5 linked regions of the Cricetulus griseus genome follow. The protein of the gene in region 1 interacts with the protein of each later gene in a pairwise test. Links are inferred from orthologs where the notes say so. Each region holds a gene or a part of one and is shown in the gene's direction. Other genes may lie near its edges.

Region 1 (3,355 bases):
ATCAGGGAAAACCTAAAAACATTGTCAGTGTCTCAGAACAGCCATATCTAGGCTTCCAACTGTAGCCTGTCCACTCCCCCAGCACATCCTGTAGTAACTGAACACGTGGACTCCTTAGTAATGGTCTTGTAGCTGTGAACATTTATTGTCTTTACCAAGAATTTATCATTAAGGAGGCCTGGAGAAATGACTTGCTCAGTGGTTAAGAACATTGGCTGTGCTTCCAGAGCCGGATCCAATTCTCAGCACCTACATGGCCGCTCACAACCATATATAATTCCAGTCTCAGGGCTCTTTTCACTTCTGTGGGCATCAGGCATGCACATGGTACCCATACAGGCGAAACACATATAACACCTAAGATAAGGTTAGAAAATAAATTCTGCCATCAGGCTAGTTAGTATATTGTAATTGATGTACACTCAGTATCAATACAAGAGAAAGCACCAGCTGTCTTTACATGGGCTCTTAAAAGAGTTTCTGCTTGTTCATGAGCCTCTGAAGTAATGGAATTTGTTGAGCGTGTTTTACCCATTGTGAGAGGAGAGAGGGAGGGCCTGGGGAATCAAATCCAAGGCCCCCAAGTATTCACCCCCATTCTGTAAGGTGTTTTAAAGGCAGAATTACATAGTTTAGGAATGAACTATTCTAAAATAAAATGTTAAACAATTTTTAAATATATTTATAAATTATAACTAAATTATTTTAAATCATATTTTGCTCATTTGAAGTAAATATGATAAATATGATAAGGATAAATTACAAAGTAACACCTGGAAATGTCCACTTTGTTTATAAAATAATTATAGATGGTCTTGTATATTTTAGTTGAGTAAGTTCACTCTCTTTAATAAATAGCCAAATATGGTGGTTATATCTCAAGGCACAGGTAGCAATTTAAAACAAGCTTGGCCAACCAGCGTATACCGTTTAAAAGGCAGTTGAGGTGTTTGAAGACTGCCTCTCCTTAGAATGTGCTTCTTTGTTCTTCTCAACAGCTGCAGAGCCCAGAAGTCAGGTTCCAGCAACAACTGGAACAGCTCAGTGCCATGGGATTTTTGAACCGTGAAGCAAACTTGCAAGCACTGATAGCAACAGGGGGTGACATCAACGCAGCAATTGAACGGTTGCTGGGCTCCCAGCCATCATAGCAGCATTTCTGTATCCTGGGGGAAAAAATGTAATTTATTTTTGATAACGGCTCTTAAATCTTTAAAATAACCTGCTTTATTTCATGGGAACTCTGTGCTGTTATAAAAGAGACCGGTAGGAAGCACCTGAGGTGGAGTGCAGTAAGACTTCTGTGCTGGGTTCTGAATCTCTGTGAAACAGTGGGAATCAATGTTTTCAGTTAAGGCTGCTGCATGCATCAAACACTTGGCATTTATTGTAATTTTTTTTTTTTTAAATATCACCTTTTCTAATTGGGTGAACAAATTTTTGTCCTGCATCTGTCCAACTAACTTGCTTTTTAAACATAACCCCATGGTAGTAATTTATGTAGAATAAAGGCATTAAAAGCAGATCATTTGCGCTCCATGGTTTGTGGTACAATATTGCTTACTGTGACTTTGGCATGTATTTTTGCAAATAATGCTGTAAGGTTTGTACTACTGACAATTTTGCTTATTTGTATACAGTACAAATTACTGCACATTTCTAGGTCATCTAAGCAAAATTCCTGTAACCAAAAAAGTAAAACAAGGATTCCTAATTGTGTAGAATCTTACAGCTTCTTTGATAAACACCTCTCAGCAGGAAATAAAGAAAAACTGACTCTGGTTATCTCTTTAGGGACATTTAATTGTACAGACAATATAATGTAACAATATCTCAGCATTCACATAATAGCTGTAAATTACCTATATTTTGTTCAGACTGAGGAGCACTGTAACAGACTCCAGTGCATTTTCCGGGGCTTCCTGCTCCCCATAGGTGTCCAGGCAGCATTGAGTGGGATTGAAATGTTGTCTTCCCTGAAAGTGCTGACGTTTCCGTCTTAATTGCCATATAAAAGTAGAGCTGTCTCTTGGGTTTATCAGCTCTCTCATTCATAGGCAATACCCGGATTTAAAATGATTAGTGAGTGAGCCACTTGTTTCTGAAGTGTTTGCCTAGTTCTATTACGAAGAAGTAGTTGAATGTCTGTCGTGCTGTTCAGAGCCTCAGAGGGGGGTGGGGGTGGGATGAGACAGAATCTATTCTGGATTGGGCCAGCCTGAACTAAGTGATACTGACAACCAAGGTCTGTGAAGAGTTTATGCATACAGTAGTGTCAGTCTGGTGAACACAAAGAGCCGTTTTCACAGTTGAGTAAGTTTGGCTATGCTATAGCCTCTTCCTTCCTTCCCAAAGAAGTTCTGTTTGCCTAACTCTCACACTGTTGGGGTGATACATTCCTTCGGGACCAATTAAAATATAACTTTAGGGTCAGTGACATACTTGGCTGACTCTGGTTCAGTATTCTCTTAGGTCATTGTATTCTCTCTTGTACAGTTACCCAAAGTTATAATGTTAAAATAATCTGAAGTGACTTCAGACAAACAAATCAAGGGAAGTAGATGGTGAACTCTTTAACTCTGTAAGTTGCTTGCTATTAAAAGGTTGAGAGGTCAGGTTGACCCCAGACTGTGCACTGCTCTGACATTGTCCCCAAGAAGAAAGCATGTACAAAAGTCGGGGTGGAGGCCTGGCTGGTGAAGGTAGTGCTCGTGTGTCTCTCTGCTCTCTCTGCCTTATGTCTGGGTTAGAGACTTTTGTACTGGTGAATGGCACCACAGAGGGGCTGTGTCATAGCCAGTTTGATTTATTAATCACAAATAACAATAAATCTCCAGCTTTTACACTGGTTGTCTTGCCTCTTTTGTAGAAAAAATGTCTGTTTTTTCTCAACACGTCTTAAAGGCTATTTGGCTTGATTTATTCTGGATTTTTTTTTTTTAATTGGATATTTCTTTTGGGGGTTGGGGAAGGGGTACAGCAGTGGTTTGTACAACACTGTCTTACTCCGTAGATCTGGCTATTCTGAAACTCATTATGTATGTATCCCCAGACTGGATCTGCACTGGTCCTCCTCCTGAGTATTGTGATAACGGTTGTGAGCCAGCCTGTCCCGCTAGGTGGTGTTGAGACAATGAGCCATCTGGTAGGTTAGGGCTGCTGAGTGCTCTTTGACTGGATGCTTTAGCTCCCAGTAGGTTTGTTTAGGGATGACCCTACATAAGAACAGCAGAGCCTGTGGTTGGAAAACATTGAGTACAGGCATAGATTGTTCTTCCGCCACGTCAGTCTTTAGAGCCATTGGAGTAAAGAATGGAGGGGAGAAAATTGAAACTCTCAACAGTTACCAGATAGC
Region 2 (2,775 bases), on another chromosome or scaffold:
GATTCGCAGCTCTACGCCCTAGACTACGAGACTCTGACCCGGCCGCACTCGGGTCGCCGGCTGCCGGTGCGCGCCTGGGCCGACGTGCGCCGTGAGAGCCGCCTCTTCCAGCTGCTCGCCCGCCTCCCAGTGTTCGGCTTGGGCCGTCTGGTCACCCGCAAGTCCTGGCTGTGGCAGCACGACGAGCCGTGCTACTGGCGCCTCACGCGCGTGAGACCCGACTACACGGCACAGGTGCGCTCTCACTGTGCTGCCCGTTCTTGTCTACGCTTTCTCCATCTTGCCCACCCTGGGCTACATCAGCTGGTTCTACCCACCCCGAACCACCTGGGCTTTTATGTCTCCCTTACCCACGTAACTTAGTGGCAGGGGCGCTACGTTGACAATCCCCCCTCTTGTTCTGCAGAACCTGGACCACGGGAGGGCCTGGGGCATCCTGACCTTCAAAGGTAAGGCTGGGTGCTGCTTGGAATCGGTGGTTCGCAGATTATCCAGCCAGCCGACAGTCAGCTTATCTTCTTTCCCCAGGGAAGACTGAGGATAAAGCTCGGGAAATCGAGCAAGTCATGTACCACGACTGGCGGCTGGTACCCAAGCACGAAGAGGAGGCCTTCACAGCCTTCACTGCCAAACCAGAGGACGGATTGAACCCTGTCCCCTACCCACCTTTGCTGCGGGCCATGATCCTCGCTGAACGACAGAAAAACGGGGATACCAGCGTCCAGGAACCGCTCCTGAACCTAGAGGGGACTCGGGTGCATCCTTGGGACTACCCTGCAAAACAGGAGACCAAAGGGAGGGCCAAGGGCACCCCAGTCTAACTGCCATCCATGATGGGCAGAGTGGCCATGTTTGTTATTTGATGAACAAGTATCTTAGACTGTGACAAACATCCCCTTTGGTGGAGAGTTAGACCCTACAGCCCTGACACACCTGCCAATGAATGATGGGGCAGTTGACAGGCTGTCATTTTCAGGTGGCCTTTTGCTCATACCTGCGTCTGGAAATAAATGCACGAAGCGGCCGGTGTTGTGCTTTCATTACGTGGGCACCTCAGGACGGGGTGTGGGGTGGGGGCGGAGTAGGGAAGCCGGGAGTGCGGAGCAGGGCTCCTGGTGCTCCAGTACACTCAGGCAGGTCTTGGGCGCTGTCGCTGTGCCCTGGGCTCAAATGTGCTGGGACTGCAGAGTCCGCGCCCCGAGGTCCTTTAAGGGAGGCCCCGCCCCCTCGCCGCCTGGTCCGCCCCAGCCGCCGCCATGATCTGCCTGGTGCTAACCATCTTCGCCAACCTCTTTCCCGCAGGTGAGCACCAGGGCGGGCTGGGTCTGGGCTGAGGGCAGTGCGGTGGGGCATGCCTGAAACCAGTGCTCCCGCAGCCTACAGCGGCGTGAACGAGCGCACGTTCTTGGCAGTGAAGCCCGACGGCGTGCAGCGGCGGCTGGTGGGCGAGATCGTGCGTCGCTTTGAGAGGAAAGGCTTCAAATTGGTGGCACTAAAGCTAGTGAAGGTATGGGCTCACAAAGGAGCTGGTAGATCCAGGAAGGGAATCGAGATGGCATAGTGTCAGGGCCCTGGCACTGATAAGCTACCCCTCCCCTAGGCCTCCGAAGAGCTGCTGCGGGAGCATTATGCGGAGCTGCACGAGAGACCCTTCTACAGCCGATTAGTTAAATACATGAGCTCTGGTCCGGTGGTGGCCATGGTGAGTTTCTGATGACCTGCAAGGGGAGGGCGAAGCCTTGGGGGAGCCCTTTTGGCGCTGACAGTACTCCCTGCAGGTGTGGCAAGGGCTGGACGTCGTACGTGCCTCACGGGCCCTCATAGGGGCCACTGACCCAGGGGACGCTATGCCTGGCACCATCCGTGGGGATTTCTGCGTGGAGGTTGGCAAGTAAGTACTACCAAACTCCCTGGCCACCCTCACCCTTCCTCCTCTGCTCACTAGCCATTCCCGCACAGGAATGTGATTCATGGCAGTGACTCGGTGGAAAGTGCTCACAGAGAGATTGCGCTTTGGTTCCGTGAGGATGAACTTCTGTGCTGGGAAGACAGCGCCGGGCATTGGCTATATGAGTAGACGGCACAGAAGTCAGCATTACCAACCTGGAGGTTGTTGGTCTTCTGCGAGCCTCACGAAACTCAGCAGCAGTGATAGTGCTGTGGGTGCCGGTCCACCCAACCCAGTCTGTCCAGGGACAGCCATTCCCACATCCCTCCCTGTATTTCTTTTCATAATAAACTGCAGAAAACCCTTGTGCACTGGCATAGTTTCAAGACAAAAGTAGTGTTAAGACATTTATTACATACAGAGCAGATATGTGAGTTCACTTGCAAGGCCAAAGCCTGAGGAGAGTTGCACTGGCCCCTTCCTCCAGCTGCACCCACCCAGTTAACCCCAGTCACTTCACAATCCTGTGGGAACAGACAAGGGACATACATCACAGTGGAGAGGTGGCAGGGTGGTGGGGAGAAGCCTACAGCTGCATATTGATGCAGCTCGTCATGGCCAGATGGGCTCAGGGGCAACACCCCTGGATCTGTGCTTCTCTGGTTGGGAGAGGGCAGTAGAAGCCAGCTGACCCTGATCACTGCCCCTGGAAGAGTTTAAGACCAGGGCCAGGGCAGCACCTGCCTCCACACACTTGCTTTTAACTGTGCCCATCCTGGCCAATCCTCAGCTCTTCTGGCCTCTGCCTGGCAGCCTCTTGTTAGTTGCTTTCCAAAGGAGCAGGCCACAGCTGGCAACCCTAGGCACTTAGTACGTGTCCGGGAACT
Region 3 (4,096 bases), on another chromosome or scaffold:
TTCTCTGCAGCTGAGTTTATGGTACACATGTTCTCAGTATAGACTCTTGTATCCCTACCAGTTTCCTTGCCCCTTTTAACCCTTTGTAGTCAGTGTAACACACATATCTACATATGTAAACATACAGAGATAAACTTACTGAGTGATGTATGTGTGATGTAAGGGTTAATATCTGTAATTAAGAATGCAATAAAAGGACCTTATTTGCCTTAGCCAAGGCTGCCAAGTAAAGCATGACTCTTTGGTGCCAGTGAAACCACAGTACTTGTGGAACTTATTGTAATTCAATAAATCCCAACATCATGAACATACATAAACATGTCCATCTGTTCCTGACATATTGTGCATACTACATGAGTCATCTGTATGCCCTGAGTCCATCTCAAGAGGTGATGGGAAAGTAACTTGGGGCAAAAGATGAAGGCAAGTGCAAGACGAGGGAGTAGACATGTAGTGGGAAGATGATTCAGTGGTCTGGATCAGAAAGGGAGAAACAGAGGCACTCACAGGGTCACTCACAGAAATCAACATATTTACACATACACACAATTTAAAATTGACTTTATAAAGATCTGAATATGCACACAGGCTTGTTTTCTTCTATACCTTCTAGGATGAGGTTGTCTCCACTAGTTAGGCAGAAGGACCTATATAAGTCCTTCTATATAAGGTTTTACTGCTCCTTAACTGTCCTTGTTTTTGGCGGGAACAGAACTTCTACACGTATAGGAAAGTACTTTTCTACACATTGAAAAAAAAAAGAAGAAACGTAGGCTACTAGAAAGAAGCACAGCAGAAACAAGTTAAAAGGCAAGGAGTTGCAAAGTAAAGCAAGAGTGGAGCTTTGAAAGGTCTAATGGGGGGGGGGGGGGAGAAACAGTCCTGTGAAAGGTGAACCGAGGTTACGGGAGACAGACCCGGCCTCATTCTGCAATGACCAGGCCGGAAGGAGCGCCGCAGCTGCCGGTAACCTGCGGCGCTGAGCCCCTCCTGCGCTCCACGACCTCGGCTCACGCGTGTCTTGCAGGGAGCATCCTCCTGTCCGGGAGCATCCTCCTGTCCCCATCTCTCCACGCAGGACCAAGGCTGAATGCCTTCACAGGCCCAAGTCCACCTTCTCACATCTTCCCGGGCTCAACCACAACCAACATCCGCAGCCGAGCATGCGTAGGGACGAGAAGGGCCCGGACCAATCAGAGCGCGTGTTACGGCCACACGCCGTCCAATCTGCAGGCGCCTTATTACCTGGGCGTCCTGCCTCACGCCGCCTCGCTGCTGACAGGCGCGGTTCGCGCGGAGCAAAGCGAGCACGCCAAGGCGAGCACCCCGAGGCGGGCACGCCGGGCAAGCCGAGGCGTGCCCTTACCGCGGTGGCGGCGAGCCGGGTAGCCACAGTCCCCGCCGGGTCCCGGGGCCCCGCGGCCCATGCTGGGGGCGGAGCCAGGGTGGAGGGCGGCGGCGCGGCCGGCCCCGCGCGGTGATTGGCGGGCGGCCGGCGGTGGCTGAGGTCCTGGCGGCGGCACGGGCAAGGCAGGCGGAGTCGCGCCTGGCGAGCCGAGAGGATGCTGCTGTCCCTGGTGCTCCACACGTACTCTATGCGCTACCTGCTTCCGAGCGTCTTGTTGCTGGGCTCGGCGCCCACCTACCTGCTGGCCTGGACGCTGTGGCGGGTGCTGTCGGCGCTGCTGCCCGCCCGCCTCTACCAGCGCGTGGACGACCGGCTTTACTGCGTCTACCAGAACATGGTGCTCTTCTTCTTCGAGAACTACACCGGGGTCCAGGTGAGGCGCGGCCCGGAAGGCGCAGCTTGCAGCTCGCAGCCCGGCGAGCACGTGCCGCCGCACCCGGCCTCCCTCCCGCCGCGGCGGGGCCGGGCGGGGGACAGTTTCTGGGTCTCACTTTGGGGTTCCTTCTGGAACGTCCTGCCGAGGCTGAGTGTGTCCCCGGGTCCGCCCCACCCCCGCCCCTGCCGGCTGTTACTGCCCGTCTCGGTGCCTGGCAAAGTAGGACACGGAGTCCGAGATGGTGATGGTGGGACTGGCTCCATCTGCACTTCCGAGGTCTCTTAGATTAGGAAGCCCTCTAGACGCTGACCCAAGTGACAGTGGTGAAGGACAACTCTTGCCTCGCGTTCCTCCCCGAGTGAAAAGCGAGAGCCTGGCGAGGAAATGAATACATTGGTTACAATAGGAGCCTCACTGTGGATACAGTTCTCCGCCAGCTTCGCCTGGGCTTCAGTGTGGGGCTGATCTCTGGTCAGATTGCTTTCTTTCTGCTACTTGTTTCTTTTTCTGTGGAGACTGAACTTGGAAAAGCATAAAAGTAGAGAAGCCCTCCTAACATGACTTAGTTGTATGAAGTCTCATAAAAACTTAGGATTGGGCTTCCCTTTTAGTTTTCAGTTTGAAAGAAGAGCTCTGTATGGGGTCTTCCTAATGTTCATGACGCAAAATAGAGCTGTATCATTTGTCCCTCCCCCGCCCCCCATTTCCCAGCTCTTTTCATTCAATGTCCGTGGCTGCAGTTGGGGACAGATCGCTTATTGAGTTTGCTCCAGTTGGAAATGATGTCTGAGGAAGGGAATTAGGAGAGGCTAGGAATCACACGATCTTTTAAATGTTTTCCTAGGAAACAGAAAAATCACTGTTCCACGTTGAGGTTTCTGAGCAATTGTCTTTTAGGGTGTCAGTCAGAATTTTCAGGAATTCTAGGCTGATTGCTTCTTCCCTCACTTTTACTTTACCAAGTTTGTCAAATGAATGTATGGTTTAGTCGTGGGTAAGAATTTAATTTCACATATTTTCACTAGCAGTTGGGACAGCTGGGAATGCCACTTAAGGTTGCTGATCTTGCACAGGACAAGTACCCCTCACTCAGAGCCTCAGGGATCTCTTCTCAAGCCCATATTCTTGCCGCAGAGACATTCAGGATGAGTCAAAGTGAAGCAAAGTTAAGCGAGTTTATTGATTGGGAGAGGACATGCATTTGAGGACAGTCGAGTGCAAACCTTATGAAAGGAACATACCCCAGTGCTACAGCAGCTGCTCTCGAGGTGATTTGAGGCCTTTCAGTTTGAAGGAGACACTCTTAAAACTAAGATTAAGAGAAAGACAAAAAGAAAAAAAATGTGTTCCTCTCCTCTTTCTGTATCGAGCTTTAAAAACAAACCAACCAGGATCTCACCATGTAGTCCTGGTGGGCAGAAACTCTTTCCAGAGACCTCATAGTCTTTCAGCTCACAGAGATCGGCCCACCTCTGTCTTCTGAGTGCTGAGACTAGAGACATGAGCTACCTTGCCTGGCTTAGACTTTTAGTATATGCAATTTTAGTGGGTTCCTAATGACATGGAACACATTTACACATGAGAAGAAATATGGTTAGGTAGGAATATAGATGAAAATAAAATCAAAGTAATTAACTGTTCATTAGCCACAAGAATTTAAGACACAGGCTTTTTTTCTACCTTGGTTCACTAGCTGTATTAGTAATCTTAGGTGCATTAGTTTTAGAAAATATACATAGTTTAGGATAGTCTTCAGGCAGCTATATCCAAACTCTTGTCAACCAATTCCACTTGAGGAGGGAGAAGGTGAGGAGGAGGGCCTCTTTTGCTGTCAAAAGCAGATTTTGTGGATATTACATTGGATTCTGTGTAAACATAGGTTCTTTCCTAATCTCATTTTTGAGATCATATTCATTGCTAAAATTCTGAATAATTTGTGTATCCCTTCAGGTTTACACAAAGAAAAAATTCTTTATGTGCATGTGGTTTGTGCTGCATGTACATAGGTATGCATATTCATGATTGTGGATGCACTGTGCCATGGCATACATATAGAGGTCATAGGTCAACCTGGAGTGTTGATCTTCATCTGTACTTTTGAGTCAGGGTCTCTTGCTCACCACGTGTGTGCCAGCTCAGCTGGCTTTTCAGTTTCCAGGTGGTCTCCAGATCCTGCTGCTTCCATCTCACTGTAGGAGCAGTGGATTATACAGAGGCATGTCTGGCTTCATGTGGATTCTGGAGATCTGAACTCAGGTCCTCAAGCTTGTGTGACAAGTGCTTTACCCACTGAGCCATCTGCCCACACCAGT
Region 4 (3,387 bases), about 200 Mb from region 1:
GTAGGGAGAACATTCCTCCAGGCCTCTAGGATTACATTCTCATTTGCTTGTCTGTGTTTTCAGACAGGGTCTCATACTGTAGCCCAGACTGGCCTTGAACTCATGATCCTCTTGCCTCGCCCCAAATGTTGGTGTTACACACATGAGCCACCATGTCTGAATTAATTATTCTCTTTAGATTCTAGCTGCTTTTCCTGCCCTTCAGTTGGACTTTAAGAAAATTTATTACATCTCTTCACAAATCTGCACTTTGTCTAGAGTGGACCCCACCTTGCCACCTGTAACCGTAGCGGGAGAGGCGGGATAAGGTGTTCCAGACCCTGCTCAACACCTGACCCTAGGAGGTTGGTCATGTTTGCTCAGCAGGTGAGGTTCACATAATAAAGAACAGTGGGAGGGCTTGGACCTGGTATAAAAGGTCTGGGAATTTCTAGAAGATTTGCACCTGAAACTGCTAGGGGAAAGGTGAGTTGGGGGAAGACCTCCAAATCTGAGCTAGGAAAGACAATGCCTGGACTGTAGCAGGGCAGACGCAGGCAGCAGCTCCTGGATGGGAGCTATTTTGGGGTGCAAAGGTGTCTGGTTTTGGCTAAGGGGGGTGAATATGGACAGGCTTAGCTGTGGGAGACAGGGTTATGACACACAGACAAGTTGCTTGAGAACTGATGTCTGAGCTCGTGCAAGCTGCTCCTAAAATCTCTTCGCCTCGCTCAGTTCCGCCAGTGCTCCCTGGACATTGGCGAACTGTCTTCTATTGTCCTTTGCTCTTGAGGTGATACAGAGGCACCTTGAAAATGTTCTTTGCCTTGATTTAAGAGTAGAGTGATGCTAGAGCTTTAACTGTGCCTCAGACAGCTCATCAACCATTTGATTTCAGGGAGGTTTTGCTCTGATTCTTGGATCATCAGTTCAACTGCCTCAATATTTTGGGGGTGACCTTTACTTCCTCTTCAGAAAACTCTCTCGTGCTTTGTGCCTGCATGAAGGGAGGCTTGACTCAGTTTAACACAGACGGAAAGTTTGGATTATCTTTTTGGATTGGGAAAGAAGGGTTAGTTAGGTACGGTCAGAACAGGGAGAACCGGAGGGATTAGGGGCCTGGAAAATAATATCTGAAAGGAACAGGACTATCCCTGGGCAGTTTTGTAGGTCTCTTAGATCTGAATTGAAATATCACCATGACATGGGTCTGTATTCCCAGCCAGAGATGCCTGGGTAAATGAAATCCAGAAAGCAATGAGCCTTCCTTTTCTCCCTCTTCCCACTGCAGCCTCAGAATGCTGGCCATCATTCTCTTAGCCCTTCTTTGTGCCTCGGCCTCTGGCAATGCCAGTAAGTGAAATGCCACTGACCTGGTAATGGGATAATGAGAAGGCAGCCCATGTACTGCTGATGCTGGTCAGGGCTGCCTGATACTGGTTTGGGGTGGTGGGGGAAATGGGGGTAGTGGAGAGCAGCTGTGCTCCCAGAGTATCTGTCCCTCCAGGCCTTTCTTTCTCCTCTAGTTCAGTCCAGGTCCTCCTCTTACAGTGGGGAGTATGGAGGTAAAGGAGGAAAGCGATTCTCTCATTCTGGCAACCAGCTGGACGGCCCCATCACTGCCATCCGTATCCGAGTCAATTCACGTTACATAGTAGGGTGAGAGTCTTCATGTTTCTGTGGTTTGGGAACTGTCTGGGACCTTACTAGGTTGGGAAAGTCTCATTCACTCTGGATCACACCTGTTTAAATCGGTAAGTCACAGTAATGTGTTGGAACACCTGGAGTCTAGATCTGTGCTATTCTAGTCCCCTAATACACATGACCTTGGCAAGTCAACAATCACAAACTCTCAGGGGTCTCACATTACCTGGGTTGGATTTCACCTGAGGTCTAAACCTCTTTCCCATATTTCTGTCGGGCATACTTTACCTGTGCTTGTTGTCTGTCCTGGGGTAGTCCCATCCCTTCCTCCAGCTGGAAACTTCCATCAAATGCAGAGCCAAATGCATTTCCTTCTAGTCTAAGTTCTGAACTGTGACACCGTGCTGGTTCGTCTCTCCTCTGTCTTGCCTGGGACACTTTCCAGTGTTTGAAAATCCTTGGGCTTCTTTGAAGTTTGTGTTGGCGGTGAGCTCAGACTCTGGCTGTCTGGGTGACTGAGTTCCACAAGCCAATATGCCAGCAAAATGAGAAGCCGAGATTCTCTGCATGGTCTTCTAAGGCTCACGCAGTCTTTGTATCTCATGGAACTTGTCACCAGTTTGAAGATACAGCATATAGACTAAGAAGATATATATATATATATATAATATATATATATATATATATAGTTTATTTTATGTTTGTGTGTGCATGATATGTGGGGGTGCCCAGGTGCCCCACCGTACATGTGGAGGCCAGAGGGAATCTTCTGTGAGTGGGTTCTCCCCCTCCACCACGTGGGACCTAGGGGTGGAACCCGTGTGGTCAGGCTTGGCAGCAGGCACCTTTACCAGCCGAGCCATCTCTCCATTCCAGTCTTGAATTGTAATAACCATGTTCCACGTGTTCCTTCTTCCTTCCCACCCCTGCCCCCAGTCTCCAGGTGCGCTATGGCACAGTGTGGAGTGAGTATGTGGGTGGCAAGCAGGGAGACCTGGAGGAGATCTTTCTGCACCCCGGGGAGTCTGTGATCCAGGTGTCTGGGAAGTACAGGTATTACCTGAAGCAGCTGATCTTCGTGACAGACAAAGGCCGCTACCTGCCTTTTGGGAAAGACTCAGGCACAAGTTTCAACGCCATTCCCTTACACCCCAACACCGTCCTTCGTTTCATTAGTGGCCGATCTGGCTCTGTCATCGATGCCATTAGCCTACACTGGGATGTCTACCCTAGCCACTGCAACACTTGCTGAAACCCACCTACTCTCTGGCAGCGGGTCTGTGTGGGTGTGAGAACCCTCTTATCACCAAGCCCCATGCAAACATGCAAATAGCTTAATAAAAGGATATGACTAAAGATGGTGTTTGTCCACATCCTAATTCTAATAAAAATGTGTGAAACTTATTTCTGGACTTTTTAAAATATTCAATTAAAAACATTTTGAGACAGGATCTCTCTACGTCCTGGAACTCACTATGTAGACCAGGCTGAACTCGCAGAGTCTGCCTGTCTCTGCCTCTGGAGTGCTGGGATAAAAGGGGTGAGCCACCATGCCTGGCTGTATCTGGCTACTGTTGAACGTTAATCTAAGGAAATGGGAGAATAAGGATGAGATGTGCTATGGGCTTTTCTTTATGCCATCAAAAAGAGACAAAATTCTGCCTGCACCAACTCTTCCCAAGGACAGCCCCTGAAAATTTTTCCTAATAGGACTTCAGAGGCTAGGGTAAGGCTTGGTTGTACCAACTTGCCAAAACTCACTCT
Region 5 (4,014 bases), on another chromosome or scaffold:
GTGACCCGTTGATCCCTGCCTCGTGGCTAAAGGAGGTACAGACAGATCAGGTCCAGCCTCTTTGACGTCATGCCTCCCAGCAGCCCCCAGCCTAACATCTAATCCTAGACATGGCACTCTGCCTTGCCATAGAGACTGCTAAATCCTTGGCCCCGCACCTGCACCTTCCTCACACCCCAAACACTGAGAGTGACAGACAGATAACCCATGGAAGCCATCCAGGAATGATTCAAGGCCTGTCAATCATACAGTGCAATGTCTCCAGTTTCTCAGAGAATCCAAGAAAGTAACAAAGTATAACAAGTCCGGGGTCTGTGTGTGTGTGTGTGTGTGTGTGTGTGTGTGTGTGTGTGTGTGTGAGTGGCCCTTTGCCCCAGCAAGGCTGGACTCTACTAGAATGTTTTCTGTACTTTCTTGTGCCTTATCCTTGTTTGTATTCTGCAGAACACAAAGGCTGAAAGCCCCCTCTCTGTGGAGCAGCCCACGGACTGACACAGTTATGCTGGGGAATTCAATGCGGGCCACCTTGCCTGCAAACACTACCACTTCACCACAGCGAGCCCTTAGGAATCAGTCTTCTAACCAAGTGAGCCTCCAGGGGAGACGGGCAAGGTGTTGAGTGACAGGTGCTGCCCAGGTCAGACTTCTACCTGGAGGTGACAGGCCTAATGCACCTCAGTGCCCTCTCCATCCACCCGCCCCTGCCCCTTCGGGTGCTCTCTTGGCCTCTGGTTCTCTCCAGAGACCCTACTTGCTGCTTCTGGTGCTGAGCTCTGAACTCTCCTTGGAGGCCCGACTATGCCATTGCCCGTCTGTCTGTGTCTGTCTGTCTTGTCCATGGAGTTAACAACACCTCTAAAACTCCTTAGCTCCAGTAATCCCTCAGTGTATTATTCTTGGACCACCAGGCCAGGCCGGTCACAGTGCAAACCTAGCAGTGCTGACTGACTGGTCCTAGAAAACTGAGCAGGGACAGCTGCCTGAGCTGCTGCAGGAAACGCTACAATGATTTGTGCATAGGGAGAGGGCATGGCGAACCGGCGCGTTTGTTTCTTTGTTTCCTGATCAATTACAAAAAGACCGTGCTGGAGGGACACGCAGTGGTTAAGTGTGCACACTGCTGCTGCGGAGGTCGGGAGTTCGGTTCCTGTTCCTGCGTAGGGCGGCTCACAACCGCCAGTGCCTCGGGCTGCAGGGTCGTGTGACGCCTTTGGCCTCCTGACACCCGCGCTGACGCGCACGCACCCACACGGACACGTCGATAAAAGACACAGAGAGGCCATTTACTCGGAGGGCGCATGACGTGCCGGCGGCGCTGAGCCGGGGGCCCGCGGCGGCGGAAGGAAGCGCGGGCGCAGGCCCGGCTCGGCGGAGGGTGTGAGCCCGGGGGAGGAGCCTGCGCGGCCGGGCGGCGGGCGGCGGGCGCAGCGGCCCAGCGGCCCAGCCATGTCCGCCGAGGAGGTGGTGCAGATCAGCCTGGAAGGCCGCTGCTACCCGGTGAGCAAGAGCAAGCTGATCGAGCAGAGCGACTACTTCCGCGCGCTCTACCGCTCCGGCATGCGCGAGGCCGTGCGGCCCGAGGCTGGCCCGGAGGTGCAGCAGCTGCGCGGCCTGAGCGCGCCGGGCCTGCGGCTGGTGCTCGACTTCATCAACGCGGGCGGCGCGCGCGAGGGCTGGGGCCTGGGCGAGGACGAGGTGCTGGCCGAGCTGGTGGAGGCCGCGTCCTTCCTGCAGGTCACGGCGCTGCTGCGCCTGCTGCTGTCGCATGTGCGTCTGGGCAACTGCTTGGAGCTGTACCGCCTGGCTCAGGTGTACGGGCTGCCCGACCTGCAGGATGCCTGCCTGCGCTTTATGGCGCTGCGCTTCCACCAGGTGCTGTGCCAGCCGCAGTTCCCGCTCCTGCTGTCGCCGCCGCAGGCCCCGGGGGACTGCAGCCTGAAGCAGAGGCTGAGGGAGGCCCGCATGCGCGGGACCCCGGTTCTGGTGGCCCTGGGGGATTTCCTCGGGGGACCCCTGGCCCCGCACCCGTATCAGGGGGAACCCCCGTCCATGCTTAGGTACGAGGAGACCACGGAACGCTGGTTCCCGCTGGCCAACAACCTGCCCCCCGACCTGGTGAACGTCAGAGGCTACGGCTCAGCCGTCTTGGACAATTACCTCTTCATCGTGGGCGGGTACAGGATCACCAGCCAGGAGATCTCGGCCGCACACTCCTACAACCCCACCACCAACGAGTGGCTGCAGGTGGCCTCCATGAACCAGAAACGGTAAGTGTCTGTCGGCAGGGCCTGAGCCCTCCATTCATTGTCCTGGCAGAGTTCCCGGGGAGCCCGGGGCCTGCCAGCAGGAAGTCGGCCCGCCCAGTGACCTTCTTCCAGGTGCGGGCCTCAGGTTTCTCTGTCTCGGTGTGTTTGAAGTGGATATTACAGAAGATGACTGCTGTTTTTTCCTTCTCTTTCCTTCCCTGGTCTGATCCGAATTATAATGCCTCTTTGGCAGCAGTATCTAACACTCTGGCTTCAGGAACTTTGGTTGTCGCTGCCAGTGACTTTGCATCCTTCTGCACCTGGGTAGGAATCCGCCGTCCCTAGGATGATGATATTAATACGCGCCACAAAGGGATTCACTTCTTTTTTTCCCCTTCCTTCTCCCTTCTTTTTGTTTATTTCCTCCCTAGACAGCAATCATCTTTGACCCAAAACTTGAGCCCAGAGCAGGATCAACTACAGAATCGGCATGCCCTTGCCCCTCGAGTCTCTTGTCTGCCTGAGCATCCTGCAGCTATTAGCATGAAGCATACATGTACCCCCCTGCTTATGTTCCTTGGTTTTCCTTTATCTTGGTGTGTTCTTTCCTCAGGCTGGTCTTGAACTCCTGAGCTCGCTAGGCTCAAGTGATCCTCCTGCCTTCTAGCCTTTGGAGTGCTGGGATTAAAGGTGTGCACTAACGAGTCTGGCTTTCTACAATAAATAATCTCTATGTTCCTTACAGCTTCAAATGTAATGTATCTACCTTGTCAGTGTTGTCAATATACACACTTCCCCTGCTTACTGTTTGAATCTATGAACCTGTGGACTCAAAGGGCCAGGTGCATTCATTCCTTTCTCCCTCACTCATTCCCTTCCTGTGGAGCCCTCTTACCTTGACCATGGGTGGCTCAGAGAAGAAATGGAGGAGCTTGGAGGTCAGGGTGGGAGGAGAAGTAAGGAAAGGAGCCTGGAGAAAAAGAAAATGAAAGCAAGATAAAAAAAAAAAAAAAAAAAGCAGACACAGGAAGAGAAAGGGAGTCCAGACAGTCGTCCCAGGTTGTCTCAGTCTTACAGGCCTGTTGCCCCAGCTGCTTAGACTGCTGAAGCGAGCAGGTTCCAAGGTAAGGGCCTTTCTAGGTTGCAGGTGAGTTCCAGGCCAGCCTGGATAACAAGCAAAACATAGGAGAGTGGGAAAACCATATCTCAGTGTGAGAGCGCTTGCCTAGAACTCATGAGGCCTCCATTCAATCACCAGTGCCCCAGAAATGGTGGGGAGGGTAGCTACGACAGGACAGGCCCTCTCTACCAGGCCACCTGCTGCCACCCAGATCCCACTGTGGTCTTTGCCTTGAAATGACTGGAAACTAGAAGGAAGAAATCTGAACTGGAACTGCCCGGTCCAACGCAGGACAAGAGACACTTAGGTTAGGGGTTATTTGCAGGAACATACCTTGTCCTGATGGCTCAGAGGCTGAGAGCACTTGGTGCTCTTTCATAAGACGTGGTGTTCAGTTTCCCAGCTCCCACACTGGGTGCTATAACCTGTAGCTGCATCTCCAGGGCATCTGTAGCTAACAGGCACCCACATACATGCATACATACACATATAGGCACCAAATAAAGATAAAAAGTAAATCCTAGAAAGCCCTGGAAAGCTGAATTATAAGAAGCAGAGATGAATGTGCCACCCACTCTCCCTTCCAGAGGTATTACTAGGGGTTGGTGGGCTTCCATCCGACCTACTGTAACATGGTATTTATATCAT

What was found. The genes of interacting proteins can lie anywhere in the genome.
Region 2: the proteins of Ubqln1 (region 1) and Nme3 interact in binary tests that used the Homo sapiens proteins (3 or more experiments, as listed by UniProt). The two-hybrid records come from large-scale screens. The link is inferred for Cricetulus griseus from reciprocal best matches to the Homo sapiens genes UBQLN1 and NME3.
Region 3: the proteins of Ubqln1 (region 1) and Agpat5 interact in binary tests that used the Homo sapiens proteins (3 or more experiments, as listed by UniProt). The two-hybrid records come from large-scale screens. The link is inferred for Cricetulus griseus from reciprocal best matches to the Homo sapiens genes UBQLN1 and AGPAT5.
Region 4: the proteins of Ubqln1 (region 1) and Zg16 interact in binary tests that used the Homo sapiens proteins (3 or more experiments, as listed by UniProt). The link is inferred for Cricetulus griseus from reciprocal best matches to the Homo sapiens genes UBQLN1 and ZG16.
Region 5: the proteins of Ubqln1 (region 1) and Klhl42 interact in binary tests that used the Homo sapiens proteins (3 or more experiments, as listed by UniProt). The two-hybrid records come from large-scale screens. The link is inferred for Cricetulus griseus from reciprocal best matches to the Homo sapiens genes UBQLN1 and KLHL42.

What each region holds. Positions count from the first base shown.
Region 1 is NC_048596.1:277,204,143-277,207,497, reverse strand, and holds the end of Ubqln1 (ubiquilin-1), read left to right. Parts: intron 1-998; coding exon 999-1,151; 3' UTR 1,152-2,843; downstream 2,844-3,355. UniProt on the Homo sapiens protein: Plays an important role in the regulation of different protein degradation mechanisms and pathways including ubiquitin-proteasome system (UPS), autophagy and endoplasmic reticulum-associated protein degradation (ERAD) pathway.
Region 2 is NC_048600.1:44,489,633-44,492,407, forward strand, and holds Nme3 (nucleoside diphosphate kinase 3), read left to right. Parts: upstream 1-1,164; 5' UTR 1,165-1,256; coding exon 1,257-1,302; intron 1,303-1,376; coding exon 1,377-1,507; intron 1,508-1,600; coding exon 1,601-1,702; intron 1,703-1,778; coding exon 1,779-1,891; intron 1,892-1,959; coding exon 1,960-2,077; 3' UTR 2,078-2,263; downstream 2,264-2,775. Other genes in the region: Mrps34 (28S ribosomal protein S34, mitochondrial), read left to right, coding at 1-234, 407-449, 529-821. UniProt on the Homo sapiens protein: Catalyzes the phosphorylation of ribonucleosides and deoxyribonucleoside diphosphates, other than ATP, into the corresponding triphosphates with ATP as the major phosphate donor.
Region 3 is NW_023276807.1:62,409,615-62,413,710, reverse strand, and holds the start of Agpat5 (1-acyl-sn-glycerol-3-phosphate acyltransferase epsilon), read left to right. Parts: upstream 1-1,284; 5' UTR 1,285-1,562; coding exon 1,563-1,781; intron 1,782-4,096. UniProt on the Homo sapiens protein: Converts 1-acyl-sn-glycerol-3-phosphate (lysophosphatidic acid or LPA) into 1,2-diacyl-sn-glycerol-3-phosphate (phosphatidic acid or PA) by incorporating an acyl moiety at the sn-2 position of the glycerol backbone.
Region 4 is NC_048596.1:73,700,666-73,704,052, forward strand, and holds Zg16 (zymogen granule membrane protein 16), read left to right. Parts: upstream 1-1,277; coding exon 1,278-1,332; intron 1,333-1,505; coding exon 1,506-1,638; intron 1,639-2,559; coding exon 2,560-2,875; downstream 2,876-3,387. UniProt on the Homo sapiens protein: May play a role in protein trafficking. May act as a linker molecule between the submembranous matrix on the luminal side of zymogen granule membrane (ZGM) and aggregated secretory proteins during granule formation in the TGN.
Region 5 is NC_048601.1:2,620,136-2,624,149, reverse strand, and holds the start of Klhl42 (kelch-like protein 42), read left to right. Parts: upstream 1-1,202; 5' UTR 1,203-1,446; coding exon 1,447-2,267; intron 2,268-3,141; exon of another isoform or gene 3,142-3,222; intron 3,223-4,014. UniProt on the Homo sapiens protein: Substrate-specific adapter of a BCR (BTB-CUL3-RBX1) E3 ubiquitin-protein ligase complex required for mitotic progression and cytokinesis. The BCR(KLHL42) E3 ubiquitin ligase complex mediates the ubiquitination and subsequent degradation of KATNA1.